Lytechinus pictus: one gene and its partner. The protein of the gene in region 2 purifies or fractionates together with the protein of the main gene of each other region. This does not show direct contact. Links are inferred from orthologs where the notes say so. Each region holds a gene or a part of one and is shown on either strand. Other genes may lie near its edges.

The links.
Region 1: the proteins of E3 ubiquitin-protein ligase SMURF2-like (region 2) and mothers against decapentaplegic homolog 4-like purify together in Homo sapiens (affinity purification with western blotting; 3 studies listed by BioGRID). This does not show direct contact. The link is inferred for Lytechinus pictus from reciprocal best matches to the Homo sapiens genes SMURF2 and SMAD4.

What each region holds. Positions count from the first base shown.
Region 1 is NC_087247.1:25,798,290-25,815,150, reverse strand, and holds the start of mothers against decapentaplegic homolog 4-like, read right to left. Parts: upstream 8,786-16,861; 5' UTR 8,640-8,785; coding exon 8,397-8,639; intron 2,375-8,396; coding exon 2,200-2,374; intron 721-2,199; coding exon 691-720; intron 1-690. UniProt on the Homo sapiens protein: In muscle physiology, plays a central role in the balance between atrophy and hypertrophy. When recruited by MSTN, promotes atrophy response via phosphorylated SMAD2/4.
Region 2 is NC_087254.1:29,862,752-29,880,055, forward strand, and holds the start of E3 ubiquitin-protein ligase SMURF2-like, read right to left. Parts: upstream 7,589-17,304; coding exon 7,576-7,588; intron 6,672-7,575; coding exon 6,563-6,671; intron 1-6,562. UniProt on the Homo sapiens protein: E3 ubiquitin-protein ligase which accepts ubiquitin from an E2 ubiquitin-conjugating enzyme in the form of a thioester and then directly transfers the ubiquitin to targeted substrates.

The DNA of each region.
Region 1 (16,861 bases), on a different chromosome or scaffold from region 2:
GACAAGATGATTTACAGTCTCGATATAATAAGAGATTAATGAATCTAATATCAGGGGACGGACATGGTAACGTCTCAATACTAGTTTTTCAAACGGCAATATTTCTGAAACGTAAAACATGTCAACAATTTAGTTGGAATTATCAACAAACATACACATCAGACTTCTTTATGGTAATCCAACTCCATCACGTTTGTCTTTAATTTTGTTTTATTCCAGTTTGTTTAAGTATATATTCTGTTTGTCCAAATTTTCAGTACATTTCAGCTATCTCTACAGGACTGGTGAATAATAATTCACTCACTACAAATTTCTTATGTTGATATATATTTTGGGGGAGGGGCTCGATTTTGACCTTGCCGTTTTCTCTCCTTAACCGGAATGGCCCATTTGGAGGTCATCAGGCCAGGGGCCCATTGTAGAAAGAGTTGCAATCAAACATAATTCTAAGAATCATGCACAACTTGATTTTCAACCAATCAAAAGCATGCATTTGAGACTTGCTACATGTATTGATATTCTGATTTGTGTTTAAACGCAACTCTTTCTGCAATGATGCTCCACAAGAGATTCATTTCAATAGACTGTAGAAGTAAATATACAAATGCATGAAACATGAATAAATACATGTATATAAAATTAAATGATAAGCAATGTAACACACACAGGTATGTACATTGGTTCTCTCACCTGTGTGTTGTAATGTAAGCCCAGTCAGATCTATAAGGAAAGAAAAGGAAGACAATTATATTAGGGAGAAAAAAAAAACAAGGAGGAAAAAGAAGGTGTATGTGTACATGCTGACAGTCAATAATGCATTTTACAATTTAAGAATATATAAAAGGTCTATGTTTTCAATGTTTTAAATGTGCTTTTGATACAATATTTGCAATGAAATTACTTCCAACACTAGGCTATTTTTAGAACAAACTTTTGAAAATATGTTACCTATACTTTTTTGTTTGGGGGGATTATAAGCCTCCAAGCTACATGTACATGCACACTGTATAGAAGTGTCTACATGATTTCTGATGAAGATAGTAAAATGAGCATGTAAACTTTTGGAAACTGAGCCTCTTTCTTGCATGCCATAGAATATTGTGAATGGATGTTATATATTAATATATTTTAAAGGTTAGAGGCTACCAAGAATAGAATATTTAAGTATGCCCACATGTTATTTTTTAAGGCTACTCTCTGTGTTTTGATCTTTCTTAAGTAAACTACTTTTATTTTAAAGACCCAGACCGGAGCTTAAAGTGCAATTGACAAATGGGAAATATATAAGCTACATAGTACAACAGTGCAAGTTTTGTGCATATTCACTGCTTAACAGCTGAGTATTTTGCTTAAGAAAAACTAAAATTAACGGGTTTCGCGGGGGATTTGGACAAAATGCTTTCCATTGCCTTTCTCCGGGCTCAAGACCATGACGTCATGTTGTGTTAGAAGCATTGTCATTCCATAGGCTTGTACACTGACAAAGGGGGTTATTTTTCTGCTTTTTAGAGTCTGAATTCGATTTTTTAGAAAAAATCATAAAGACAATTATTCAGTGACCAAATGGATGGAAACCTACAACTCTTCACTAGATTTTGTGTGATTTACTTTCTTAGCTCTTATTGGGCCTAAATTGCTATTTCAGAAAAACTTGTTTAATACACATAATCTGAATGCATATAATTTGAAAGCTGTGCCAAATAAGCAGGAAATAAAATATGGTGAAAACTAGTCAAAAGCCGTAGATTTCATCAATTCAAGCTTGCAGAAAAAGATATTTTTGATATCTCTATGTGATAGAAGTGAAGAAAATAAAATGCATAATCTGGAAGGGGGGAAGTTCACCCTCTTTTTCTGTGTACAACTATATGGAATTACACCGCTTCTAACACAACCTGACGTCACGGTCTCAAGGCCTGTGAAAGCCCTGTGAAACCCTTTACAGCAAGAAAGTCTATTTTCGAAGCCCGATAATTGGAGCTATTCTTAAGCAAAATAGCAGTGAAAATGCATAAAGCTTGCATTTCTGTATTAAGTAGTTCATTAGCTTTCAATTGGTATAGGATTTGTCAATTTTATTTTGGGGTCCGATCTGGGTCTTTAACTTTTTCAATTGCAATAATTTTGCCTCTACTTTCATAACGCTCACATTTCCAAAACATAAAATTACAATCAATCACAAAATACATGTACACTCACCAATACCAGGCGACACAATTCTTTCATAGTGGTATGCATTTACACACACACTGTCACATTTGAGATCAAATGCATACTGACAGAATTTCAAGTGTTTCAGTTCATTTTTGTGCAAATCAGGCCACCTCCATATCCTGGCATAAATCACATGTGGAAAACCTTTCCTCCCGGCAACCTAAAATCATCAACAAAGAAATATTATATAGTTTCTAATCAATAAAGGAATATACAATGTGTTAAATAAACAAATCATGAAAAGCCTTTAACTGGCTAAGTTCTTATATATTTCATCATATCAAACTTCTCTCATGATATCAACTTCAACCCTTAAAATGAATAAAACTAAACTCTGGAAACACAATTTGAGTGCAAGTTTTCTCAATTTTCTTGCTCGAGCTTACCAGCATCTTCATGGTACATGTATCATTACAATATCATCCCGTTCACTGTACACTTTTTGTTTTCAACTTCATCCCTCATCCCACAAGGGATATATGGCACAAAGCTATTATACTGGATATCAGGGCAAGGGGGAAAGTCATAACTTAAAATATGGGGGGGGGGGAGGAAATACAGGTGCATGATCGCACTGAATTTATTGCACTATTTGATAGTTCAGCATGAAGAAAAAAAACATGTCATTAAAGAATGTTTTGTGATAATACACATGTACATGTATGTACTCTACAACTAGATTCTGGACACGTTATGATGGATGATCACTGCCACATAAAATGATTTCCAAATCAAACACTGTATGATTCATAACTGCCTTAAGGGTGTGTTAATTACATATTCATACACTACCACTTAAGCTCAATTGATATTACAATTTAATGCAATTACATGTGAAACACTCTACTAGCTACTATACAGTATTTCCAGGAAATAACTCTTGAACTTGATATCCCATATACATGTATTTGAGGAATAGCTGTTATCATAACTCCTAGAAGTCAAAACCTTAGATATCAGCTAAATGTACGTGAAAAAGTACATTACATGTATTACTGAACATTATATTATCCATGAATTAGATAATTTACAAAGTGCAAGAATTAGTGAGAACGTACACTTCTGTAAATAAGTGCAATATTCTATCCACATTTCTACATGTAGTCACTCATACTGCATGATCAAAATGAGATGTAAGGATTAAATCTTTTCAACATGCCCGGGGCTAACTACTTGCTAAAACCATCTGATGATCCCTCAGGAATCATTGATTTTCTTCGTATATGATATAATTTTGGGGAAGCATGCCAAGATTCAGCTCAGCATACAAGCTACTTGATACCCACACAATACCCATGATGACTCATTATCTACCGAGACCACATAATTCACTCCAATTCATTATGAGAACAACCTGCGAGGAAGAAAAACAATGCCAACAGCCAAGTCATGTGCCAGCATGTAACCTTTTACAAATTCTGACATACTTTTCTCAAAATTGCGAAAACCTCCAGATCTAAAAAAATAGGTCAAATCTGATTTTTTTTTTTTTTCAATTTCAGTCATGACCAAAATTCAAAATTTGTTAAAATCTTTAACCATGGTCTACTTTTCAGACATTGTTGCCGATGGCTTCATGTATGGGTCATGTTACATCAATCACCAGTTGTGATACATTGTACATATAGATCACACATCTTCATTATCGCAAGTGGTGATTGATAACCATCCGTGATCAACCACCACTCACGACTAGGTCTGTGCTATAGATAAGACATCATGCTAATGTCTGAATGATGATGTTACTGATCACCACTCGCTAGTGATACCTACGTGTAAGTGGAGCTTATATCACAGTGCACTACTATTAGCATTAGAGACCTTTCGTTTTCTGTGACGGGCCATGTGGATGTGCAAGATTAAGGAGTTTTGGAAGCTCTGCGCATGCGCGAAATAATCTGTGACGAGCCCTCTCATTCACTGCCCAAATCTGTGACTCTTAATTGAGGGTTTTGACGTTCGGTGTCTTAGTGCTCGAACGAGCGCTAGGTGACGTCATCCTAGCTTAACAAAAATGAATGAAACATTCAAATTTTAGTGATTCAGCAGGGCTGGTGAAGGAAGATACTGCTTGTTACCAGCTTTCCCATCACATCTCGTGTCATGTTTTCAGCATCTACACTCCCCTCCAAAAGTTTGGGAACACCTGCATTCAGTGTGTGCTTTTATATACTTGGTAGACTTTATTGATATTGAGGCTCATAGCATAGTTGAATTTTTGTTTTAAAGTGAAGATTATACAGCAGTGTACATTTTGTTATTGATTCAAACAAATTTATACTCTCTTAAATGTCTGGCTACCAGTCAAGATGGCATTCTTTCAAAATGCTAACTTCTTTTATTACATGCAGTTATTGCTTTTATTCAGAGCTTTTACACTAAAACATGTGCAACTTCATTCATTTTTCCTTTTCCTAGTCAGAAGTCAGACACAAAAATAAAATCAAACAATACTCAGTGTTTCACTGATATGGAAAATTTGATGGAAAACTCGATGGGATTGAGATCTGGGGACTAGGGTGGCCAATCCATGATTTCCAGGACTTGCTTCTCTTCCTTTTTCTTCAAGTAGTCTTTGCATAGTCTTGACATGTGTTTTGGGTCATTGTCCTGCTGGAAAACGAATTCTTCTCTGATCAGGCGTTTCCCTGAAGGGATGGCCTTCCGCTGTAGGATTGAATGATAGCCGTGCTGGTTGAAGATACCCTCTACTCTGTGCAAGCTGCCTACCTTTTGTGCACCAAAGCAACCCCAAACCATGACATTACCACCACCATGTTTCACAGTTGGCTTGATGCACTGGGGTAGCATCTTTTCTCCCTTTCGCCGTCTCACATAGGTACGTTGCTTGCTGCCAAACACCTCGAACTTTGATTCGTCAGACCAAAGAACCTTCTGCCACTGCTCCAAAGACCAGTCTTTATGCTTCCTAGCCCAAGCAAGCCTTTTCTTCCGGTTCTTTTCTTTGAGGAGTGGTTTCCTTGAAGCCACATAGCCCATCAGCCCTGCTCCACAGAGACGTCTTCTAACAGTTGAAGAACATACAGGCATCTCACGGGTGTTGTTGAGGCCAGCTGTAATTTGTGGGCAAGTCAGACAACGGTTGCGCAGACTGCTCACCCGAATGTATTTATCTTCAGCAGGAGATGTTGTTTTTGGCCTACCACTTCGTCTCCTGTTCCCATTAGACCCAGTGGCTTCTTTGCGTTTCAGGCTGTAGTGAACCGCATGGATACTGATCTTGAGTTTCCTGGCTATTTCTTGCATGGAGTAGCCTTCTTTCCTCAAAACTACAATTGACTGACATGTTTCCAAAGAAAGCTGTCTTGTCATAGCCATTTTAATTTTGTGACTGACTTCTGACTAAGAAAACCGAATAGGCAAAATGAGTGAAGGTGCACTGGAATAAGTGTAAAAAAACTCTGAATAACTTTTGAATTCATGAATTTCAAATTGCACTGATGTCTACTCCACTTCCATGTATTTTCTTTAAACAAGGATTAGGCATTTGTCAAGTTCAGATGTTTTCCAGGATAAAGATGCAGATTTCCATAAATTAACTGTCTTATGAACAATACTGAGCAACAAATTCTGAGGACATCTGCTGTAACATTCACAAAATATTGGGAAGAATTTCAGAAAAGAACCCCAAACAGAACAATGTTAAAAGAAGTAGGCATTTTTTAGAGAATGCCATCTTGACTGGTAGCCTGCCCTCTTTGGCAGCTGCACGTCCCTTAAGAGCTTTGAATTTGTTTGAATCAATGATAAAATGTACACTTGTGTATAGCCTTCACTTTAAAACAAAAATACAGCTGTACTATGAGGCTTAACTTCAGTAAAGTCTACCAAAGTTCGAAAAACACACACTGAAGGCAGGTGTTCCCAAACTTTTGGAGGGGAGTGTACATATCCAGAAGGTACAATTCATGTTCTATATCCAAACAACTGTGTTTTGGGGCTTTTGTGCCACGTTTGCGCACCCAGCTTCCAGAGCTCATCTTGCGACATGCAGCGCTCAGCAGGCATGGCAGCATGACTCTACCAGGGTTGCAGGGATTAACTTCGTCGAGATCCGCTATTCATGCATCTCTCCTCAAAATGCATATTTTCAATGTATTTTCATAAAACTGTGGAAATTGAACGATCCATTCTCTTGATATCATTTTAAATTGTTAACTACACTGTGGGATTCATATTGGTACATGTTCTCACATACGTAAGAACGTTTTTAAGCATGCGAAGAGCAAGAGTGCAAATGCTGCACCCTCAAGTCACCCAACTGGTTCGTGGCGTGATGCTATGCCTAATCCTCCGGCTGAGCATCGGCTCTTGGCCCGCTCGCTATCACGCCAGTCTATGCTGTGGCCTGGTACGGGTACGTCGACTGAAATCGAAACTGTTCTCATCATTGTACGAACGTGATACTGAACGAGCGGTGTCACCACTTCCAGTGAACTAGGATTACGTAGCAGTCGCAGAGAAACGAAACCTCGGTAATGTGACAAATAATACATCACTATGGATAATATGCATCGCGCACAATGATGTATTCTACCTCACAAATTCACAATTCTTCTGACAAAGAGAGAAAACAAGTTGAATTCAATCGCATGCAGTGATAACAACTCAACAACATGTTACATGTAATGATCACCGCTGGTGATTTGTTAGCACTATCCACTGCAAGTGACGATACACCTGATGTAAATCATGTAATGGACTAGTAAATGTATTCCATTCAAATTATTGATTTTAAAGTAATCACTATGAGATGGTACAATGTTTTTATTTAAGAATGACTGTTTAATTGCTCTAGAATAAAATAAAAAATGATTTTTTGTTCTGGTAACTTTCTGTATCCTAAAGCTTTTGGTCATGGTGTGTCCTGGATTTCATCAAAGAGGTGGCACAGAAATCTCTTCCCAACTTGAGGAAAGCTAAGCTTTGTCACATCAAAGAGTAGGTTAATTGATTCAGATTTTTCTGACAGGCAGAGAAAAATATTTTCTCAGCCCCCCCACAAAAAAGGGTTCCTGTCTGGCTACCCCCCCCCCCCCCCATCACACCCGGTTAGTCCTAACATTCAAATACAAACATTTGGTGATTGTTGATCTTTTCTTGTTGTATCAATATAATTTTTTGTATGTTTTAAGATTTCCTCTTTGAAACCTTTCAAAAGTACGAACATTAGTATTTATTACTTATTTACCAGAACTATTACCTTGTCAAGAAAAACCTCACATTTTCCAATTATTTTCGTTTTAAATGACCTGGCTGGCAAGGGGGGCAAAAGAGAGTTGGTAAGAAATAGGTTAGTTTGTTGATAGAAAGGGAAACATATTGGCAGTGCAGTGTGTGACATGCACACTCCTGAGAGGAAACCGTCTAATATGCCATATCCAGGTGAGCTCTCTCCGAGACAGGTTTCACTTTCTAATACAACCTGGAAAGGAGAACTGTTCCTTCCTGGGGGGAAATGCAAACCAGTTACCTTTGAAATACCCTCCCTTGATGATAAACATTGAGGTAATAAGAAAACATTTTCACCTCACGCCATCTATAATACAAAGGTTCTCAGAAATAAGAACCATCACGTGCCTGCAATTAGGACAGGGGAAAAAGCACCCCTCTCCTTCCCATTGTTTGTAAGGTTTAACTCAGTTCATACAAAGTTAACATTGCAACACTAATTCCATTCCAAATGACTGTTTGACAACCAGTATGTCAGGCCCCATTCCAAACCTTTCTCCTCGTCACAAAAACTAGAAAAGTGTCCTGAATAATATAGGTTTCCATCAATTTAAAACAATCAACAGGCCCTGCCCAATTGAGGAACATTTTCAATATGGTGTTTTGCTAATTCTTTAAAAAGAAAAATAAATAAATGAAAGAAATATATCAAAATTGTGCTCCCAAAATGTACAAATCTTTATTTTTTCCCATGATCATCAAAACAAGAAAATAAGACACGGGCTTGGTGTAAAGTTAATGATTCTTTAATTAAAAGGAATTAATAAACTTTGTCGAAAGCATATTAGCTTTTGATGGAATTTGAGGTACCATATTTGCCGGTGAATAACACGCACCTCTTCCCCCTTTTTAAAAGTCGGGTGAGTCTTTTACAAAGACAAATCCAACTTTTTCGCTTGTTGCTAGCTAGTAAAATGGAGTTAAATTACCTGTAACCTGCCATCCAATGTCCTTTGTATCGTGACACATTTACTGGGATGTGCACCGTTTGTGGTAATGGCTGTGATAAGGCTGTCCAGCTCATCTCTCTTCTCTTTCAGTTTTTTCACCAAACTTTCAATGGCCCTCTTTGCAAAAGATTCTGATTCTCCTCCCTGCCGATGGCACATGAGGCTGTGTACTATACTAAGACAGGCATCGGCACTCGTTGGGGCCCCCGCCATTGTTCCCATTGGGTACGCCAGCTTGACAGTGGGGTAGATGACACTAATGGTCACCTCGAAACCGGTCTGAAATGTGCCACTTCTGCAACTACAAAATGATATTTGGTGTATTTTCTGCTACACCATGAACTAAGGCATCTGTCCAAGGAGTTCCTGCATATTTGTAAGAAAGAAGGAATAAAAGAAATGGAGCCCAATTAATGATCATGCCCAACAATGTAATGTCCTGTAAACTAGAAGTAAATTTTTCACTTTGAAAACATTGCTTCCAGACCCCGATTGGACCTAAAGTGAAATTGAAAGGTCAATCAATCGAAAGCTTATAAACTGTAAAACACAGCAATGAAGAGTTTATATATTTTCATTACTTCTCCGCTGAGTACCTTTGGGCTTTAAAAAAAAGGGTTTATCGTGTTTATCTGTGACATCATGATGTGTTAAAAGCATTGTGATTCCATGGGTTTGTACACAGAGAAACATGGTAATATTTTTGCTTTTCAGATTACACATTTGATTTCCTGCTAGAATTTTTTGATCACATGGTATATCTTCTTGCAAGCTTGAATTGATTATAAAATCTACAGCTTTGGACTAGTTTTTGCCATATTTCATTTCACACTTTGGCACAGCTTTCAAATTTTATGTGTATTCAGATTATGTATAATAACTTTTCCTGACATAGCAATTTAGGCTAAAAGGGATGGTCCAGGCTGGAGATGTTTATATCTCAATAAATAGAGTAAAATTCACAGAGCAAAATGCTGAAAATTTGATCAAAATTTGATAACGAATAACAAAGTTATTGAATTTTAAAGATTTGCATTATTCCGGTGAAACAGTTTTAGGCATGTCTTCATGAATATTCATTAGGTGGGCTGATGATGTCATATCCCCACTTGTTCTTATGTATTTTATTATAATTGAAATTAGGTTTATTCAAATTTTTTCTACCAAGAACAAAAACAATTGGATTGACAACTGATTATTATTAGTTATTTATTGCCCCAACTTATTTCATCATAATGGAGACACATCATTAATTTACACATGTATGAAAAAATGAAACAATTATGATTTCATGTATTACATAAGAAAAGGAAAGTGGGGATATGACAACGAAATTTAACACAATTTGAATTTCAGCCCAGTTGACACTGTAGTGCATGATATTGGTGACCTAAATTGAGGATATAGAATTGAAATTGATAAAAAATGACATAGAAGCATTTTTTGTGATCTATGAATAAACTTCATATAAATAAGCATAGTCAAAATTTCTTAACTCTTGTGTAGAACCTTGATGAACCTCATGTAGCTCTCAGATGGAACAAAAATAATCAAAATCAATCAACAAATAATTAAGTATTTTTTGTGAGTTTTGAAAATATATTGAATAAATTAGAATATTAATGAGTTTCAAAATTCTGTGTTGAAATTTTGTATCACCACCTAGAGCTATCATATAAAGCAAACAAAATTGAAACTGATCAACAAATGAAGGGGAAAAATCATTTGTGATTTATGAATAAATTTTGCATAAATTAGCATTAATAATTTTCTAGACAAAATTTCAAAATTTTGTGTACAAGTTTGGTGTTCCCCATGCAGCTCTACCAGATGGAAGGAAAATAAAATCAAAATTGGTCAACAAATAAAGAAGAAGCATTTTATATGAATTTTTAAAGTAATGCATAAATGAGCTTAAAAAATTTTCTAGTCAAAAGTTCAAAATTCTGTGTAGAAGTTTGGTGAACCTCATGACGCTCTACCAGATGGAAGAAAAAAATCAAAATCGGTCAACAAATTCAGAAGAAGAAGCATTTCATGTGAATTTTTTAAAATATGCATAAATTAATTTCGCATAAATTAGCATAGAAATTGTTCTACTCAAAATTTCAAAATTTTGTGTAGAATTTTGGTGAACCTCATAAAGCTCTATCAGATGGAAGCAAAAAAATCAAAATCGGTCAACAAATAAAGAAGAAGCATTTTTTGTGAATTTTGAAAAATGATATAAATTAGCATATATTTAATGAGTTTCAAAATTCTGTGAAGAAGTTTTGAATCCCCCAATGTTAAATGCTATCATAAAAAGCAAACAGAATTACAGACTTGAAATGACGAAGAAGAAGCATTTTGAAATTCAGTCAACAAATAAAGAGGCATTTTCTGTGATCTATGAATTTTCGCATGAATTAGCATAAATAATTTTCTACTCAAAATTTCAAAATTCTGTGTAGAAGTTTGGTGAACCTCATGAAGCTCTACCAGTTGGAAGAATAAAAATCAAAATCGGTCAACAAATTCAGAAGAACAAGCATTTTATTATGTGAATTTTTAAAAATATGCATAAATCAATTTTGCATAAATTAGCATAAAAATTGTTCTACTCAAAATTTCAGAATTCTGTCTAGAAATTTGGTGAACCTCATGAAGCTCTACCAGATGGAAGCAAAAAATTCAAAATCAGTCAACAAATAAAGAAGAAGCATTTTTTGTGAATTTTGAAAAATGCGCATAAATTAGCATATTTAATGAGTTTCAAAATTCTGTGTAGAAGTTTTGAATCCCCCACCTAGTGCTATCATATAAAGCAAACAGAATTGAAATCGGACTCGACATGGCGAAGAAGAAGCATTTTGAAATTTATGGATGGACGACGGAAGCCACGGCATAAGCTCAACTTGCCCTTCGGGCCGGATGAGCTAAAAAAATCATATTCATATAGGAATCAGTGATCAATAATAAGAATTAAATACCAACAGAACCTCTATCCTCTCTCGATATGGGGCACGATTCTCAGCTCCACACGCCTACATAGACCTACATGTATGCCTAGACTTTGAAAAGCGTGAGCACGTAATACAGCATGCCAAGATGTCGGATATTGAGGAGTGCCATATTTGGCAGTGTGTCGAATGTCCCGATATACATATGCAAACAATTTGTCGGCGGTCATCCGAACCGTCGTATCAGTCAATTTTGGTCAAAATATCGATTTTTAGATTTTTGCAGAAAATGAAAGTACAAGTACTTTTATAACGATGCACGGTCGTCGTAACACAAACCAATCTTGTCAAATTTTTCTGTGCAACCTGATTTTGACATTATAATTTCAAACTCGTATTGCTCATTAATGCATGAAGTGTTCATCTCAAATTAGGTATCAAATTAAAGAGGAATAATTGGATGATACATGGTTATGTAAGTGAAATAAAAAGGCAAATAATTCATTACACTCATACACTATTTGCCCTTTTTTATTTGCCTTTTTATTTCAATGAAATAAAAAGGCAAATAATTCATTTGCCTTTGAATGAAAAAGACTAGGAAATCCCAGTTTCCTTTTTCTGGGACGCACTGTACATTGTATATCAGTTTATTGACCCCCCCTTTAGAATGAGCTTTGACCTTCAACTGGAGACCTGAAAATTAATTCTTCTTTTTTTCCAATACTTTTATAACGATTATGCAGGTTTATGCAATCGGGATTTTCATACTGTCAATATGAAAACTGAAAATCATAACTTTAAGTTTTTTTAGTTGATATTATATCCCTTACTTAAGATTGTTGTAGAGTGTACACAAGGAGAAAAAGAATAGTTTTACTACGAAAAACGTTTGCCATGAAATAGTTCATTTTCCTTGCATAGTCCATTTTTTCCCTAGGGAATAAGTGAACTATAGGTTTTTTGACCCCCCCCCCCAAACTCGCGATTCGCGAGCTGTGCGGCGCGATGCGAGCAGAGCGCTGCTCAGCCAAACGGTACTCTCCACTGCATGCCACGGGAACTTTCGGCGAGCTGCACTAACCAGGTGCGCTCGCTTAAGAGACGATCCATATGGCAATACTTATTATTTTCTCAACTTCTCAACGATTGTTCTATATCGACTTATTAAAAATCATTTCGCTGTAAAATGGTATGAGTGGAAGGGATGTAAAACAAATATACAATGACCCATTCTCAGAACTTTTTTAATCTTTGGACAAGGTTTATCATACATGTGCAGGAAAGTTATTTCAGCATTTTCTTATTTGTTTATTTCCTTTTATGTTTTCTTCTTAAAGTATACATCCAAAGAAAATTCATGAAAGTGATGATTATAGACAAATTATATATGAATGGAAAGGTCTTGTCTTTTTATACACAAATATGTCACTAAAAAGTCTTATTGATGTCGTGGAAATGCAAGAAATGAAATTATAAGAGACCCTTCTCAGCCCCCCAGCCGCCCCCAGACAGACAATAACGCGATCAAATACAGTCGAGAATAATGACGTCACATGATGATCGACTCACTCAGCCGCTCTCTAGCTCTGTGCAAGCCAGCAGTACACTGATAGCTGATTCACCTTCCTGGTCTTTATTTTTCTTCGAATTTACTGTTTTCTTCATGTATTGTGATATCCGAATTCTGTTTTCGACAACTTCAGACTATAAGGGAACCAGAACTGTGTTATTTTGCCCGGTTTTTATTGAATTGTGAACTGGAAAGATCGATTTTGTCCACTCGACAGTCTTCGTTGTGTTGCTCTACTAACTATTGAAAAACTCCAAGCTGCACGGTCCCATTCACTTGCTCCCGATGCATGTTGCAGGTTACGCTGTTTGATCCAGTCAAAAGTCAAGGTAAGCATGTTTGGAAACTGTACTTGTTCTGACGATGCATTCAGGTCAGATGACAGATACAGATCTGATATAAGTTTAGAATCATGCATTTTGGCGTATACTATTAAAATTAAAAAGTCTTTATTTTAGAAATAATGTTTTTGCACAATTCCAGCAGATTTTTTCTTCAGATTTCTAAAACTGGTCAGGACTCAGGCAGGCGATTAAATTATTTAGGAGCACTGGTATGGACCATGGCTGAAAATCTTTTTATTATACACAGAATTATATCACCATGATGCCGATGTCATGAAGCCAGACAAATTTTCAGCAGTGATTACCCTGATTCCTGGCCAAAATCACTCACACGTATTGCGAGGTTAGTATTAGTATACTAACCTCGCACCACGAACCGCGTTTGGCAGTGGATTTCTAACTAGTGGGTCGCGCGTGCTGGGATCTCACTTCTTGGGTCCACAACACGACTTCTATGGCTTGAATTTTCTGTGCGCGGCGGCATGTAATGAACCCTTGGGTGGGCCAAAATTAGAGTCTGGTGTTTCTTTCTGATTAGAGTGTTGCTGCATATATGCATGCGTAATGCCTTCAACAATGAAGATAAATGCAATCTTTGTAATGACAAAAAAACTCAGAGAGCACCGTACCTCAAGTGATGTTCGTGTAGTCTCCACTTCACTACTGCTACAGCCTACACTACGCTACACACCTACCCGGGTAGGTGTGGCGTACATGTACGGTAGTGTAGCAGTAGTGAAGTGGAGTGGGGCCTACACAAACATCACTTGAGGTAGAGCACCAGTGTTCTGAGTGGAACTTTTCAGGTGTCTTAACCTACTATCATTTGTTGTTGACCGGGAATTACATGCCACCGCACGTCATCAATCATCACGATAATTAAATTCATACTTTGATTTGATTATTTAAACTATTTCTTTTTTTCTCTCTTCTACACACAGATCTGCACACTTGCTGACTCTGGTGACTTCTGGTCTCTGCTTGCTACCTCAATCTGGGAGATTCCATCATGTCCTTTTACTATGATTTGGATATAGCCATTTTTTTCTTCACTCTTTCCAGGACCTACGGTTTGCAAGTTGTGGACTGATAATGATACAAAAGAAAAATTTTCTTTATCAATCTTGGAAACAATTTTGAGCACAGTTTTGGAGAGAACTAAGAAATTTGACTTGGACAGGAATACAGCTTGTCAAAAATAATAACACACAATTTAAAACGAAAGAACAATTTTAATGTTACTAGGGCATTTTGCGAGAAATGTTATACTCAATCACACGTCCCAAATCAAGGGTAAGTCCTTTGATTAAACATGTAGTTGAATTGCGATTGCAACTCGACCTTATTACGCTTGAATTTGAATTTAAGACTTACGCTTGATTTGCAATTGAACATAAGTTTCTTGCAGTGCCCCATAATTATGTTTTGTTATCAGATATTTAACGTGCTGATTTTTCTCGAAAGGTATAATATATTTGTCTTTTTAAACAGTATTTGAATATGGGTATGCCTTTTGTTTGTTTTCCACAATATTTATTGCATGTATGAACAGAAGTGAAATATTTATTGTGAAGCACTGTGAATGTTGTGTGCTGTTGTGTGATGGTTCATCATTTTTGTTATAAGACTGAAAGCCTGGTGGGTGTGAGGAAGTGGCCTGGATGAAAGAAAAGTGAACATGTGTCCAATTACTGATTTGCATATTCTAAGACAATTTTGTTTCTGGATAAATTTTGCTATGCATTCCCTACATTAAGAGTAAAGGAGAAGTCCACGCAATCAAAAATTCATTTGAATTTAAAGAAAAATAACAAGATATTGCAGGAAATTTCATAAAAACTTTGATTCAAATTTATATAATTACTATTTTAACAGTTCCGTAAATATAACCTATTGTGATCAGATGAAGAGTTTCCTATCGTCAAATCTGCAAAGAATAAAAAACAAAATGCCACAAAAAATAGAAACGAATGTGATGTGAGTGACAACTCTAATTTGCATATCATTGTTTTGTGTATATGACTGTTTTGAGTAAAAACAACAAGGGAAATTACTCTATTCAAATAATTTTTAGTTGATGTGGACTTGACTTTTAACTCTACCCCTCCCATCCCAAATAAGAGTAGAAATAATCTAATCAAGAACTTGAAAATCAAAAGCAGCAATTAAGAAGCAAGATTTGATAAATACAGGTCTGAATAGAATTTCACAAGAAAATAAAAAGAGAAAAAAAGATGGGTAGGGACGGGGAAGGAATAAAAAAAAAATGCCCAGAAAAAAAAATCCGAGTTTCGAACCAGGGTCCTCGCACATGACAAAACAATGGCCAACGCATTTGGCCACAGACCATTGCCCTACCGGAAAGGCATTTTTAAGATATATGAAATAAAGTCCGCTCGCCGCTGTTGCCTAATAATGCTTCGGCAATTCAACTGCAATTTCAGTCATTTCGCGATGGATATTGCCGTGTTTTTTTTGTGGTTCCTGACTTTGCTACTTAATGAAATTTCATAATTTTTGTTCAGTCATAAAGAAGAATGTCTATGCTTTATATTGATTATAATATTAACGTGACGCAAGTGTGATTTCTACGTGAAAATATGCTTTGTTTATTCACATATATTTCTTGAAAAAAAAAAAATTCTAAGCTAAATATCGGTTACCAAAATACGTTAAATGTGCACTTTTTTTCACTGTTCAGTAAATTCAAACTTTTATCTATATAACAAGACCAATATTAAGAGCAATAAACAATTCTAAGAGCAAAAAACGCTGATTGGAAAGATCGTCTCCAATGGGCTGCTGTCAGCTCAGCTGCTCACTGCTCATTGTGTGACGTCACTCAGCTGGAGCTCGCAAGAGGACCGGTGGAAGGCAGAAATATGGCATGAAAATAAATCATTTTTGAGAGCTGATTTCTGCAAACTCTGATCACTATTTTGAAAAGTGAAGTTATATATCTGATTAGTAATACTTCCCCTTTACAATGATGACCACATAAAGTCATTATAAAATACTTTTGATTCTTCTGATGTATACTTTAAGCTGTTTCACATTTGTTCCTTTCTGCCCTTACAGTCTGAACTTAGGTTACATGTATATGAGTTAAATGATATTCAGTTTCCATTCATCCTCCTCCACACTGAATTCCTTTCCTCTGATTATTTTTTTTGTCATCTTCATTCCTTTTCTATTCAGGTTTCCCCATCATTCTATCCCTCACCCGACTCCTTAGTTTCTCTTCTCATTATTACATATTCATAATCACCCAGACATCTTTTATCGTGACCTTCATCTTATTCCTAATTGGTTTATATTATGAATTGGATTACTACATTTCAGTTGGGTTCTTCTATTTTCTCTAATTTCATTGGTTAGCTTTTGGTTCATTTAAATAGTGTTATGTTCCTGTAGCAACAATTTTGATGTAGGTCAGGAAGGCAAAGTAGAGACTAGAGACAGTTATTTTATTAAAGACACATACATGTAGACCTGTACAGATAGACAAGATCCAGACATTCTCTTCATTTACTTTATTCACCATCTTCGTCCATGTTACATTTGCTGTTGAAATCCGAGTTATGC
Region 2 (17,304 bases):
CTGAATCAAAGTGCAGTACAAGCATGATTTTCTTTCAAATGGCAACTAATGCCATTGATGAGATATTTTACAAAGACCCTCTGATTAAAAGGCACAAGTTAGAACTCAGAACATCCTTCAGCCCATACCATGCTTCAATATTCTAGTCTTCATCATTGTTTTCTCCAAAACAAACAACCTCAATGGCAAGGTAGTCTTTTCAACATAAGACATTCATGATACCATGAAAGAATCTCACAATAATTTTTTATGAAAAGGATCATTATAACTTAAATTGCACAGCTGAATTATTCACAGCTACATTACTTTTACCCCTTCCCAAATAAAGCCTTAATAGAGGAACATTATTTTGGCCAGTCAAAACAATATTTGGCCAGGCAAAAAGGTGGTTCAGGTCCAACCACGCCTGACTAAACTCAGATCATGAGAAATGGTACAAAGTCTTGGGCCAGCCTGGATCTTTCATTCTAGGTAATGCGGAAAAAAATCTGTTGGTAGATTAGCTACAAGTAGAGGGAAAATTTGTAATAAAGTTGCTGTATAAAGTATAAACCTTGAATGATTTCAATCTAGGAGTTATTCAAATGTTGGACAATCCAATAAAAAAAACCCTGCATGTTCCAGTAAGTACACACTGGTACCAGCAAATAGCTTCACACCCAACACTATCAAAATTGTGTTTACTTTGAGAAATGTACATCCCCGTTTAAATTGGCTGCCTAATTAGGCGGGCGCAAGACAGAGTGAATTTCAGGGTGTTAAACATGGGTGTGTATTGCTCTCTTACAACACAATGCCATAATTGCAATTTAAAAATTCAACAGACGAGGGAGACAGACAGCGTGTTCTCCTCCTGTCTCTGAACTCAATATTCAAAAGAGGTTGTTCCATTACGCGGTTAGGCAAAAAGTGATGAAGTTATTAAGAAATACATTGCTCCAGCATATTCTGAAATTAAAGGCATTGCCTTGATCACTTTAAATAGTTTGATTCTTAAACATTGGAAGTAAATGAGAAATAGACCTGCATAACAAATTAATAGCCCCCCCTACAAAAATCCCCTTTGGTACGGAGAGATGTACAATTGTACATTTGTAAGGTAAAACAAAAGGACATCACTGAGTATTAACCTGATTATGCCATAAAGAATGTTGATTTTTTACTCAAAATAATTATTCTACTATTCTATCAATAACATACAACATTGGGTTGTTTCATTAAACCCTTCAAACCTATGAGGGTGTCTTTTTTGGGGGGAGGGGGGTGGCAAATCACTTTTTGCTATGTGTCATTGTGTAATTCTAACAAGCTTCATCTCCCTTTAAAGGGTCAATTCAATATTCAGAATTTAAACTTTTCTCAGCATTAGAAAGCAGCCATAAAGAACAAAGCATATTAAAAACCAGTAGGAGACAAGAGCTCTTGCATGATTAGACAAATCCAGTGTTTCTCAAATCTAATTCTTGCCAAGATTTCATAGAGTAGCTAACTGAAAGAAGCCTGTCTGGGACTGGGCAAGGAGCCTTGAAGAATCAACACAGGCAACTCTGGAAGCTTCATTCCAAGACCGACCCAGGGTCTAAAAGCGAGAAGCGATAGAGTGCCAGGATGGTGAATGATAGATAAAACAGGCATAGACAACTGACTGGCACGCTAGGAAGCACTCCCAGCCGCCAGTCAAATGTCTTAAACCATGCCAGTCTTGTTTTTGAGGGGAAGAGGGAAGATAATCAGGCAGACAAATTGACGGAGAATTAATGGATGCAGAGAAAGAGGAGAGTGTTTGCTGAGCCCTGCCTCCTCTGCCAGACATCTATGTAAATCATGTTTTCTTCCCAAGACATGAAATTATCTTCCATCCCAAATATAGCTAAACATTTTCTCCCTTCCATGAGCGAGAACGAAAAGTCAAGGGAAGTCAACGTAGTGCGTTGACTTGCCACAGATTTCGCTTGCAAGAGGGCTTGCAAGGCAAAATTGCACTCTTAAATCATGGAATGACGTGGGTACCATAATATAAAAAGTATTTTCAATTTTCAAAATAATGGCATTCAGACGCTGTCTTATCTCTGCTTGCCATTCTCGAGACATTGATTTACATTTAGGTTTGTTGAACTTCAATATCTGCAAGTATTTTCTATCATTGCAACCAGCATATTGCTTGACTCAAATCAATACAGTCAATCTAAAACTTAATCTTTTTCCTCCATTCCATACTATGAAATCAGTCCCTTCCCATTGTTTGAAAGAATTCTTGTGCTACCCGCTTGTATTTTCACACCTGTACTGTAACAAAAAAAGCTTCATAATTGATCGCAGGAATGAATTTAATCTGAAATCAATCATAAATATCCATCATATAATTCATTATGCTTGTATGGGGCCTGATCATCCAATCTGGCAATTTAGAGGTTAGCTGCTCATAGAAAAGACTTCTCCAGCAAAATTCAGTCAGCCAGAAGCAAGGCCAGCTTAGCCTTGGGAGAGCAGCACATAGGTACAGTAGAACCGGTACTACTATTGAACTTCCAAAATAAGAAGTGCACACTGGAGATAATCAACAGTATGCTGTAATACAAAGCGCCAAACCTGCTTCACTCTTGGAGACACCAAGTGTAAATTGCAAAATTTCCCAAAATGAATCAAATGAGCCTCTGAAAATGACGTGGCCTATATGCCTTAACTTGCATAATTTACTAATTCTTTGCCCGATACGGGAATAAAAAGAAGTCTAATAGTCCACAAATACATCATAACATATGACATTTTGGGGGGTGGGCTGGGAGGGGGTTATCTTTGATTATGAACCTCTCTTTAAGAATGTCAAAAAATCTGTTCCTCTTATTGGTCAAAATTGAGGTCATGTAAACGACCATGCCTGCAAAACAACAAACTAAGGTGGTAACCAAGGGCAACAGGCATAGTTAACAAGATTTCTGCCTGTTGCCCCCTGACCCGCCCCTTAACGACGGGCATAGCAAAATTTGGCAGAGATCCCCATTTGATTGCATGCAAAATGTTGCTTTGTGCGGTGATTGCGGATACCATAAATATCCGCGCGATTTGATCGAAAGTTTTAGACAATTCGCGCATTTACGCGCTTATTGCACAAGTGCACGCAACGGATATGACATATCGATGGAACGATGCCGATCCTAGACTTTTGCTTGTTAATTCGTGTTAAAATATATGGCATTATTGAAAAGAAGACTAACTTAAACAAGGACATAACGGATGTATCAATCATCAAGTCTTGTTGCAGTTGTTCGTTCAAATGCATGCTCACAAAAGGTGAGTCAGGTGAAAAGATCAAGACGGTCACTGCACTTTCTTATAACATTACTCGTTACGTTAGGTATGGGCAATTCCAGCGTAACGGACATGACGTTCAGACAAATTTTTGTAATTCAAAGGTTTATACAGTAGAATTAGCAGTCTTTTGATAATTGCTACTGAGCTTATCAGACACATTTAAGTATCAGTTACATACACATGAAATTTCAAATCGTTTCGTTGAACAGTTGCGGAGAAATTGCACTCTTTGTCAGCGTAACGGACATGACACGAAATGGACGAAGCATTTTTACCTCCTATTGCTTATCAAAATTCCTGTGAATTCTTAGATTGCATGCACCTGACGCTGGTGTTAATTTAACCTTAAGATCATGCTCTATCCATAAAATGGTGTTTAACAAAAGTTTTACAGTGCATTCTGTATTCATAGCTCAAAATGTAGCGTAACGGACATGACACATGAAGCGTAACGGACATGACAGTTTCGTCCACTTTTTGTAAGCGAATATAATTATTTTATTACAAGATATGGTACAAGTCTTATTGGTTACTTGTTAAGGCTAGAGGTTAGAGACACACATCATAACTGGTAATCTGTAATATCTCCTATTATTTTGCAATTTGAGAGGGGGGCTTTGCGTACAATATTTATAAAACAAAAAAATATTTGGAAAAATTTCTTTTACGCCAGTTAACAACAGTTAATGATTATTTTCCAGTTACTACCATCCGCCACATCTAATTAAAAGAGAAAAAGTTGATAGTAAAGATTATTTTTTATTCATGGCTTACTATTTGACAATATACACTAGCGTAACGGACATGACACCCTTCCGAAGTGAACTTCATCTGCACTTCTTAGTTGCAAAATGAAAGAAATATGAATAATGAATGTAATTATGTAACAGCAAAGTACCTTTACTAACATTCTTAAGAAAAAAATGTAGATATTATTGGCACTTTTGGCAGGTATTATTAATTTAATAGCTATAGCCCACATGATAATTTTATATAGAATACAATGCTTTAATAGTACCATAGGCACACTGAGAAGAGCAAATCAGATTTTTTGTGAGAAGAAAACAAAATGTACCAGACCTGATTAAATCCAAGATGAACATACACCTGTATTATAAAATGTATTTTATGATAAAGAATATGTACTAGTATTAATGTCAATTTCAAGATTAAAAAAATGATATTAAAAAGTATTTTAAATTTTAATAGCAGTACCTGGAAACCAGTCTTTCATTATCGATTATGTACGAGTTATAAGGTAATCGGAATGTTTGTAAATCGCTTCTGAGATTTTTTTCATTCAAAATAAAGATCCTTGGTATAATCATCCTTTCATCAAATCTTGGATGTACTAAATCTTACGATCTTGCTTGCTGACAAATGTGGCTGTATCTAATTTCATTGTATTGTCTGCGCTGCTTGTGTACAAACGAAGATACATCATTCAAATCATGATTATGGCTGACCAAAATACTATGATGACATAATTTATTGATCGCGCCACATTCCTTCCACAGCCTCTTTGCTTTGTGATATGAAGAAGTGCCACTGTAGATTCATGGATTCATAGAGCTACATCATGTAACACAGATATCTGAATATTTACAAACTTGTTTTAAATGTGAGCCAGTGCCATCACTGAAGAAGTTGAGGGTTGGTGAAAGTCAGATACTTTGAAGCAATGTCATCAAAGATCTCATGAATTCACAAGTTGGAGTTTTATCATGCTCCAAACTGTCAGTGCAAACACCTAAGATAATCAATTATTGTTCAAACACAAATGATGCAGATTGTGATCTGAGTATGTTGCCAGATTTAGCTGCATCTTATCCTAATATTATGTGGCATACCGTTAATTCTCAGAAAAATATACCAGAACAAGAGCTGAACTTTCATCATTTACCAACTTCTAAAAATAGCTAGAATGACATGCAGATTCTAGGAGTTATTACATCCAGCTATCCTCAAGCAATTGAGACTGACCACAGTCTGTGACACTGAGCCTAATATTTTGTTTTTGTGAATGCTGCCTTTTGTCATATATTAGGTGTCATGTCCGTTACGCCATTTTTATGAAAATGAGAAGTGGTCAGGGAAAATGATTGCTACACATGGTAGGGGGTTTAATTCTAACATAGAATCTGAATCTGCAGTACCTTCAGACAAATTTCCTGTAAGCTGTGAAAACTTTAAGTGAAAAACGTAACGGACATGACACTGATAATGGTAAAGAAATCACATTAATCTGAAGATCGATTTCTCTAAAATTGATGAATGGCATGAAATATAACAATGATTTTCTGTTGATTTAAACATTAATCATCGATACAAAAGTTAAAAGAGACCTGTGGGACCTTATTTGCTTTTAGTAGAGACAGGAAAGATGAATTGTTTAAAAATAGCCACATTTTTTATATTTTGCAATTTATTATTTTATTTTTTTGATGATGGAAAAAAACACAAAATTTTATCAATATTGTGATTTTTCTATTGGAAATTGAAACTTTATAGATTACTTTTTAAGAAAATTTGACTGCTTAAGTGAAATCTGAAACTTCATTTTTTCTCGAAAGTGAACATTTTCCATGGAATTGCCCGTATGCCAAACAACGATGCGTTAGGTACCGGTAATGTTGTTAGATCTAACTTTAGCTTAGAAGTTAAGAGTAGACTCGAGATCTAGATGGCCTAGGCTAATGTTCCGTTTAATTTCGATCTGACATAGTCGAGATCTAATGTTAGATTTAGACTCTAATGGAGATTAAAGACTGCTAACATTGGACTAGATCTCGTCTAGATCTATTCAGACCCTAATTTGGTTCCTAAAATATCTAGACCTAGTACTAACGGTATGGACTGCTTTGATATTCGACTTCGAGACCTAACGTCAGCTGAAGGGCTAAGTTAGGGCCTAGATCTAGGCCTAACGTTAGCCTGGGGCCTAGAAAGGCTAGATCTAGGGCTTTTTAGGCCTAACTTGTTTAAGATCTAGACCTAGAATTTTTTTATATACTAGGCCCTAGGCTAGATCTAACATTTAATTTGGTTCATAAAATATATATGGACTGCTTTTATATTCGAGACACGGTTGTTTCTTTCGGCTCGCAGGTACCGCATCTGCCAGACCATGCCCTCGGGCATAGTCGCGTTGCGGTCCCCTTGAGCCTCTAGAAACAACCATGCCTCTCAAAGCACTCCATAATATAAAAGGGAAAAGATGGAAAATGTCAGTCATGCTTGAATTACTCACAAATCATAATGCTGGTTCCATTTTGGGTCGAGAGTTCCTTTGCAGTAGTCTGTAGAATGGCACTGCCCTGATCCATCAACCACTACCTTGGCAAAGGGATCCGGTAACCCTGCAGAAAAGAAAACAAGAATGCAAGAGAAAAAATATATATTGATATGTATTCAATAAATACAATAAAACATTTATTGAAGTAGTGTTTGTTCAGATTTCTGGTTTTCAAGTTTGACGAGCATATCTTAAAAAGGGTAATGGGGTATGAGTTTGGCAGTTTGTGGAGGGAAAGACCAAAATGTCATCGAAGGAGCAAAATGGAGAGAGCAAGAATGTTAGGTTGTGGATGGAGGATGCACAAATTCATGCAAAGTGGAAGGAAGATCAGGGTGATTGCAACAAGTGTGAGGTCAATCCACCCCCCCCCCCTCCTGTTCACAGAGACAAGAGTAAATTTAAAATGTTAGGACTTTGTATTAAAGCCTCTCAGAAAAGTCCACACTCATATTGTCCTGCTGCCATTAAAAGCAGTGAACTAAAAAATTGATCATTTACACATTGATTCTAAATTCTAAGAATTAAAAGAGAATAAAATTCAATGACAATAATATATCTGCTTTTGCATCATTATTTTCTTGAAATTAAATTCATACTGTAACTGGCACCAAACTAGGTTCTACATGTAGGACACAAGAACAATAAGGTTAGCACTACAGTTATACATGAAGCAGCATCTTCATGGTGTACATTCAAGAATGCAAACATATAACACAATTACTGCGGAGAAGGTACAAGCATGGAGCTATAAAACACATAGCTCCATGGTACAAGCAATTTTTCATCAATTCAGTTTCAGACATGCCAAATGTTGCACACCATACCGCTCAGTACAAAATAACTGATGGTCAATTTGAAGTGTTTACAAACTACATGTAGTACACAATGCCTGTACAAACCGAAAGCAGGCTTAGAACTACTGTATAAAGACATACAATGTCATACATGTACATTTTGACAATTACAGCATCTTTCCATAGTAATATGCCCAAAGTGCTGTACATTATAGAATAACAAAGAATAATTCTGCTCCCAAAGCACTTACAATAACTTAAAAAGGAAATATAACATCAATGAGTGATCGCTCTTGCTCTCAACCGATGTAAAATGAGCATCATTTCTGGTCATGAGATTGAACCATGGAAACAGCTGTCTCAAAGTGATTGGACTAAATGTACATATGTATGCACCCAAGGATTCATGCATACTGCAAGATTTGGGAATCAGAGAAAATGACTGAAATCTGCTGAGATTCAAACATGAATGGCACACAGAAATACATGAATGGGACTACACACAGATGTTATGGCCCCAAAATGTCAGCTGTTTTAGGTCACACCCTAAATATCGGGCATCTGAGAAGCAATCCTCTGCAGAGTACAAGTACCTCAGAACTTTGATGATATTCTTTCTAAAATATGATAATTGTCATTTCCCACAAGAGTTTCTCACTTTCCCTTTAACATAGCCGTCTGTCCCTTTCTTTTATTTATGACCCTGACAATGACCCATGAATCGTACTCCCAAAGCAGCCATTACAATGCCTATATTTTAAGTAGGTTTCAGTGAAAGTAGGACATATGCAGGCCAAACCAATACCATCAATGAAACGTAAAGTGAGAACAAGGCAATAGTACCTCCTTGGCAACAGTTAGCAAACATAAGTAATTGTCCAAGGTTTTACTTTGAAGGCCGAATAGACAATGATATATTCTGATTCACTTTGATTTCTGATATTTCCTGTAAAATCAAGTAATTCTTTTTAACCCATTAATGGATGAATTACACTTCCCTGAATCCAGTCTGCCAATAGGCCTATGCTGTTGCTACATCCGGCAAAAACGGTAGTCATGCATTCGATGAGATGCTTCACAAAACCATGAAGTCGTAATTTCTTATTTCATTTTAAACGTGTATGTAATCAAATCAACAATGATATGGGATGTCCGCAAACAGTTACTGGTATAATTATTTGAGAATCTGCTTCCTAGTTACATGTACCAAGATAGAGCATTCATTTAAAAGCAGCAATCATATTTTTAAAATGTTGATAAGTTTAAGAAATGAAAGGATGTGAAAGCCAATGAATGTTGAATGCGATGCTTTCGAGCTCTGAACTCTTTGTTTGAATGGTCCACAGAGAGTGGTGAAAAGGCTCATTATGTGAGCGGAAAATCCCAAATCAGATTATCAAGGCTATGGCTTGCATAAAGAACAATCAAGTATGTCAAGTATTACAGTATCTATTAAAACTTAATAAGTACCGGTAGACATAAAAAATTGTCAATAGCAATAAGACAGTTCAACTTCCGTGGCTTCTACATGGAGCATTTTAGAACAGATAGCATAGATGTACATGTATACAGTAGGCCTACATGTATATGTTTGAAGCAGAATACAGTTAATCTTGTAATGAGAATGGGGTCAACTCTAGAGGTACAGTACATGTACATGTATTTGAAGCAGAATACAGTTATTCTTGTAATGAGAATGGGTCGACTATAGAGGTTAGTGTGTCTCACACAATAAAAGTGACATACCTTGAAAGCAATACTCCTTTTTTTATATCTTAATGAGAATATGACTTTCTATATTATGTTCAAAGGAGAGGTTATAGAAAATGTTAACAACTTTAAGTATTTGGGTACTATAGTTGATAGTGAAATTTCATGGAAGGATCAGTGTCAGTCTCTATATACAAAGGCCCAACAACGATTATACTTTCTTCGGAAAATGAATTCTTTCAATGTTGATAGAATTTTGTTAAAGCTTTTCTACAAATCAGTGATAGAAAGTGTTATGCTTTTCAGTTGTGTTGTCTGGTTCGGAGGGTGCAGACAAGAAGACATGAAGAAATTGCAGAAAATAGCCAATTGTGCTGGGAAGATTACTGGAGAAGTGGCAAATGTGACCAATGAATGCGTTCAAGCAATCTTGAAACAGGCCTCACAGATCATACAAAATAAGGACCACCCCCTCCACTCATGTTATATTCAAATGCGATCTGGAAGGCGGTATAGATCAATGAGGGCTCGAACATCGCGTTTCCTTCATTCTTTTGTGCCGCTCTCCATTCGAAAATACAACGAACAACTTCAATCAAGCCTGTAATCTTGCCACTTCGTCAGTCACCTACTATATTCTCACACATGTATACAATTTACTAATATTACCCTGATACTATCGACTGAAATGAAAGCATTGAATGAGCAATTGTCTATCTATAATGATGATTATGATAATAATGATGAATGATAATGATGATAATGATAATTAATAATAATAATAATAACAATAATAATAATAATAATAATAATAATTAATAATGATAGGAAAATTATATTAATGATAATAGTAATAATAATATTAATAATAATGATAATGACAATGATAATAATGATATTGAAAATAAATAACAATAACAATAATTAAGAGCAAAGTTGTACCGATTTTGAGTGAAATTATTTTATATTATGTATTTTCCCCTTATTTGTATGACTGTATGTAGTTTGTTGTATTTCTTTGTATGTTTTTTTTTTCTGTATATCCTGTAATAATGATAATGATAATAGTAATGATTGATTATTGATAATTGTAATAATAGAAACAATATTAATAATAATAATAATAGTAATAATAATAATAATAATAATAATAATAATAATAATAATGATAATAACAATGACAATAACAATAATAATAATAATAATAATACAATTAATAATAATAATCATAATGATAATAATAAGATTGATAATAATAATAATGATAATTATATTAATAATAACGATGATTAAGAGTAAAATGTTACCGATTTGATTGAAATTATTTTGTATTATGTATTTTTCTTCAAATATGTGTGATGTATATATATTCTGTAGAATTCATCTTTACGCTTTGATTTTGTATATTTCTGTGTATATGTAAATGCCAACAAGAATATTTTCCTAAATGGACAGAATAAAATCAATTCTCAATTCTCAATTCTCAATATGACGAACAAGGTCTTTAATCTCACAAACATTGATATTTCAATCATTAATCCTTCTATATCAATGCTTGGCTAGACAGCTTGTCTTTGGATATGTGGGGTAAGAAGACAGCAATGCAGTCATAAAACCATCAAGTAATATTCTGAATGAGTTTACATTTGGGAGGGCAGGATTTTTTTCCTAATAGGAATATTACACTGAACAGGAAATATGGTCTGTGTTTACTCAGTACTTAAAAGAGCCTGAAATCTGATAAGGGATTAAAAAATTCAGGTACTTGTGTGGAGAGGGCCATGGCTCCATAACATGAGTTCAAGTCTGTCTTGTGATGCAGGGGTTTATGACCGCAACAATCTGTATTAAAGCAGGCCTCCATGTATACATATGTGCATATGATATGAACATGAAACAGATACAAAAGGGGAAGGGGAGTGGGTATAATTGGGACCGATGTATGTACCTTGTAAAAGGAGATCCCTAGTATCACTTTCCTTTGAAAACTATACCTACGAGCTTCACATACAAGTCGAGTAGGCTACATGTACCACTATTGCTACATCTCCACAAAACTTCTGTGTAACTTTTGAACATACATGTACATCCATACATCAAACATATGCATTGGGCCTGTAAAAAACGGAGAATTGTACGCTGTAGCAAAGGTACATGTATGGGCCTACTCTCTGCAGCAATGGAAAATAAGGGGGAAATTTTAAATGAGCTTTTAATAACTGGACAATCCTGAGATGACATAGCCTTTTAACAAGGCCTCGTGACTTGGCTCTATTCCTTGCCAAAGCAGTGGATGAAACTAGAATAGCGGACGTCGAAGAGAACTGGTGATACCCGAGTGAGTGCGAGAGCGAGCGACTTTAGTCGCGAGGCCTTTTGGAATCTGGTGAAGACGTGAATATATGAATTATTCATGAGCATGCTGATGCAGCCGATGCGCCAATCCGCACCGTCGGTGTCTATGACATCATGGGATGGGTTTGTTCGCTTCTGTGGCACAGGGTCACACGGGGTTCATTGATGCGAGCAATACGCTCGCTGATTGGCCGCTACCTCTTGATTCCGATTCGGAAACAATGATTAACATAAGAAATCCAAATCGGGTTCCTAAAGGCCCTGTGACTGAGCTCAAATCCTCGCACTCACTCGGCTTTTTGTGAATACCGGTAGTTTTTTCCAGTCAGTATAGGTATGCGATATAAATATCACAACAGACACAGCGCCTTGTTTAAAGGCTAGAGATGACAATGCTATTTAAGAGCACCCTCTACGCAGAGGTCGTGTAACAAATTGAAAGTTGGAGGGCTGAATACACATGAAATCTTAATTTGATGGTAATTTTCATATTTCTGTACATGGTTACTGATGAAAGAAAAAAAAACCAAAAACTAAAGCTCGCTGCTGACTGAGTAATGTCATGTGGCATATTGACAACAATAAAATACTTTGTACATACAGTAGTGTAATCCTATGTAGGCCAATTTGTTTTCATGTTGGTAAAAGTGTTTGAAATCACTATAAAGTGTTGCCTTTCAAGACCAATAAGGAGCTGATAATTTATCTTTTTACAGTTAGTAATTGACTAATTATTTAAACCACTTTTAAGAAAATAAGGACTATGGAAAAACATTTCCTATGAGTGGAATATAGATTTTACCAGTGTTATAACAGTTTTGGAGGTTGCCTATCTCATCTTTCAACAGTGTTGCTTCACTAAGACAGGCATTGTAATCAATAATAATTCTATCTAGCTAAAAAAAAAAAGAAAAATATATATTCTGTTCTTCGAAATCCCATTTCTACCTTCATTCTCTTTACATTGCCAAACTCTAAACCAAACCCTAACAAACCATACCAGAACATGGCGCCAACCTTGAAGCACTAACAATATCATGCTTATTTTGCGACTTTGCAATAAGAGGTTTTATGTTGCAGCTACTAAGTACTTTAAACCATGTACATACTACTGATTATTTATTTCATATATTTGATATATTCCTTTCAAAAGTTTTGTTCAAAGAAAAAACAATCATTGTAGAGGAGACTATATTAAAGTCTGTACATATATCACTCCTAATATTGTGCACGCATGTGACCTGGCAACCAAGCAGTCAAACTTTAGAACAATTTTGAAAAGCACATTTTCAATTTAACAATTAGGCATTCATTATTCATTTCCTCTAATATGTTATTTATTATCCATGATTTTTTTATACATGTAAACACATGCACACAATATTACCATAGAAGTCAAACATGGTGTAGAACAAAAAATAGAAAAAAAAAATGATTATTTATTTGGATATTTTTAACCAGTTTAATTCATCCCTTCATTCCATCCTTCCTCTCATCTTCAACTAGTAAAAATGGAGCATTAATATGTTTTTGTTCCATTCTAATCTATAGGGCCTACATTTACTATAGGGCCTAGTAAATTTTTCTTAATTCATGAATGGACAATGATTGCAAGTTCTACATATACATCTTCTTTTTTTTACAAATGTAGTTTTACAGTATTTGTCAAATGAGGAAAAACTTATCTTTCTAAAAATTCTGATCATTTTGGCAAGCAGTCCTTAAATGTTTATTGTACATTAGAAAGAAAACATCAGACCAAAGTGATTAAAATCAAAACAAAGCAGATAGGACAATGAAAAACAAAGATTCCTATTTCTCATTTGTTTTCCTCTTGAATGTGGCAAAATCAGATATTAGGTGGTTTCAGACCGCCTCGAAGTTCGTCAGTTCCAGGTATTTTCTGATCGGGAAATTTACCCGATCAGAAAATACCAGGTAATATTGGCAATGTGAAAGCAAATTACACGTAATATCCCCGAAAGAAAATACCCACTAAATAGTAGGTAGATGGCAAAATTACGAGAACTTTCGCGGGGATTTTTCCAAGGTCGCAGGTATTTTGGCAATGTGAAAGCAATATGGGAACTTTTAGCCCAGCGTGTAGTTATGCGCGGGCGCCGTGGGTGGCTGCTGAGCTAGTGGTTTTGAATCTCGCGCTTTGCCTGCTTATCAGACCATACAGCGCATGCTCGTAACTTCAGGAACTTATCCCGAAGGGTATGTTTCAGAGCGGTGTGAATGCAGGAATAATTAATGGGTATTTTTTAGCCTAAAAAAGTTCTCGTAATTTAACGGGGATTCTTATGATCGAGGCGGTTTGAAACCACCTATTGAGCAGGATTTGGGTTTTAGGTCTGGTTATTATAATATGAAGAACTTGACAGGAAATAAGACTTAAATTGAGGTAAGAATCATGGTGCCACCAGATGAACCATACATGGTCAGTCCTACACCAACCTCGCTGCTCCACATCTGTACTTTGAATGTGTCCATACAATTTTTCTAATCATTTGACTTGAACAAAATTATCTATCCTGTTAAAAAGCTGGCAATAAATTTCCTTCAACAGGTCAATTCATATATATCCAAAGATTGTATATGCGGCAACAAGCAATCTAAGATTGTACATGTATGCCTACTTAAAATAATTTCTGCCAGTGCTGTAAGCAATGATTATTATATTTTCATAGAAACACTGATCTACAATTCGCCACACTTGACCCAGGAATGGTAATTTTGGTAATCATCCGAACCGTCACATGGCGATACGACAGTGCAAAACTCATTTCTGAGAAATTTGACTTCAGTATACTTTAATTTCCACTCTTTGTCCCAAGCCAACCAAGACAAGTGCTTAATATTGGTATCTTTATTTTCACAAGGAACCAAGTATTAGAGAAAATATCACAAAAGAGCTACATGCTTGTAATTTTGGTTTGAGCAGTTTAGATTTCCCCTGTACAAAAACGCCTCAGGGAATATAACAGTGACCGCATTTTCAATTTGCGCGATCAGCAAACGTATCACTGTTTTATGTGCAAAGTCAATGGATGCAGATATGACGGGTGCTGATCACTTATTTGCATATTAAGTGCACGCATCAGTTGTTTGCTTTGCTTATTAAAGTACACGATTCCAACAGGATTTAAGCATTTTATCACCTTATCACCTTAAATATCCCCACTTTTTGGTAAGAAAGGCAACACATGTAAAGAAAAAACATTAAGCATACTAAACTTACTATTGGACACAGACTCACTCCTTGCCCTTTCTTGTAAACATCTCAAAATCGGTGATTTGAAGCCGGTTCTGTTTCCCACACGTATTAATTCACTGGCGAACGCGAATTGCGGACATTTACAAGAAAGGGCAAGGAGTGAGTCTGTGTCCGATAGTAAGTTTAGTCACTGTAGAGTACGCCTGTCTTTTTTTTACATGACGTGTTGCCTTTTTTACCAAAGTGACACAGTTTGTCACTGGTTTTGAGAGCGAGTATTTGTTGCCCGAAAGTTCGGGTAGGTGTAGCAGAGGGTAGCGGTTGTGAAGTGTAGTGAAGCCTACATGAACCATCACCTGAGGCAAACGTTATTCCTTGTCCGATTCTGATGAAACTCAGTATTTTTTGTTTGTCCAATGTTAATACTTCATCTGTTCAAAACAGGTGTTTTGGCTCAGTGGATAAGTCTCCTGAACCACAAGGTCTGGGGTTTGAATCCCACTGCAGCAAATGTGTCCTTTGGCAAGGCATTTAACTACATTTTCCATTCACCAGTCTCCACCCAGGTGTAGAAAATGGGTATCCGGTAGGAAGAAATTCTTTGAATGCTCGAGCGTAGATCAGGGTAATGGTAAGCAGTGCTTAGAAACATTGTATTAATTTAAGTGATCTGAAAATATTGCATATATCATTATTATTATTTCAAGCTGGAGTACCTCTTTAAATCCTGCTACCTACACGGTTGATATCACACACAGGAAAAAGACAATGAAACGTCTCAGGCATTATAAATTGATATGACTTTGGCTATCACAAGTTGATGGCAGCTGCTTAAGAGCTGAACAAGTATTCTAAAGAAGTAAAAATACATGTACCTGTATATTTCTCACAGGAAATAGATCAAGGACATTCCTTGGACCAAAATTTGCTCATACATGTACAAATGTACATGTACCATGAATTTTGAGCAAAAAAATGCATTGCGGAAATAAGATACGGTCAATACCACAAACTGATTTACATTTACAATACTGCCCAACAATTTCCCCTTTTTTCTCAAGTAAGCATGTCAGAATATTTACATAAAAGATGGAGAAGAGATTTTTTTTTGTACATGTACAGGTACGAACTATTGTACATTTGACTCAATTCCTACTGAATCAGTTTTCTATGAGCACACGACAATGTTCACTCATTTACATGTATTCCTACATGTTATCAATTTCAGAGTAATTATCCCCCCCTGTTTTTTTTTGTTTTCTCTTAGTTACCTTCTGCGCTTTACTGGCACCTGTGCTGAAGTTCAACTGTGCTGTGGTCTATTTTCCTTTCATCAAAAATGGAAGAGCATTGTGAAACAATGTGGCTATATTGGCATTTTGAAATATCACTGTCTCACTAGGCACGTCAGATATCACTGTCTCACTAGGCACGTCAGAATAAGAACATAACAATGGTGCTCTAATTCTCGCTACCCCAAATAGGAACAAAAATCTCATAATGCGCGAGACGAGATAATTTTCACTCCGTCGGGTCGTCATCACCACTTCCGGTTTAGAGTCATGCTCGCGCGAGGTTCGCGATACTGAGTTTTCCACCACGCTGAAATCGATGCCAATCAGCGTAATATGTACAAAGTATAATACTTTTTATTACATTTGGTCAGTTTTGATTCCATTTGAATTATAAATAAAAATAAAAAATACATTTCACGTGAGAATAATTTTTATTCATGTTTTTATTTGGTTATAAAAAAATCAAACAAATAATGAATATCTTAAAATTTTGCATTTAGCGACCGGCCTGACATCACGATCGTATTCAACTAGACACTAAATATATTCAGCATTCATTTCGTTCAATTTTTCGTCGACCACAAAATGGATAAAAATCAGTTTCGGAACTTAAAAAAATCTTAACTGACAGATGAATACCGTGCAATGGAAAGCGTCAGGCAGAATTAGTGACTTTAGCAGAAAAGGCTGTAAAACTGTTAGTGAAAGAGAGGGTTGTGATCACGAACTTTCCGAGCGAAAGCTACGTTGTGTTGTTGTGCATGACGGCACTGTTGATCTAAATGGCAAAACAGTGCGTTGGACTTCCGAACAGGAAGTTGTAATACCGAAAAAGCTATCCCATAATGCAATGCACGTTACAGGGATTTTCCCGGATCTTGGCGAAATCGCTATTTGGGGTAGCGAGAATTGTCTACATGAACAGCAAGCTCCTCCTAGTCTGCTGTGCAGACTCTTCACTTGGGTTAAATGGTCTGATAAGGCAGCTGACAATGACTTGTATATTGAAGACCCTCTAAAAAAAGTTTTATATACATGTACATGTATATGCTAGTCTTGTGTGGAGACCCACTTATTGATCAAGGTTTTAATCAGGGTGTCTGCCTGCAGAGCAGACTAATCTCCTCCTGCTTCTTATGAGTTAATAAAACCTATAGAGCAGTTTGTAGTTACTTCGTGGACAATTTTGGTCAAATTACCTTTCATTTATTTCATTGTGATAGGCAGATTTCAAAGCAAGATAATAAGTATGCATGCCTTACATAGCAGGATGAAGAAATTGAATAGACCAGGTGACTAGAATAGTACACCAGTAAACAC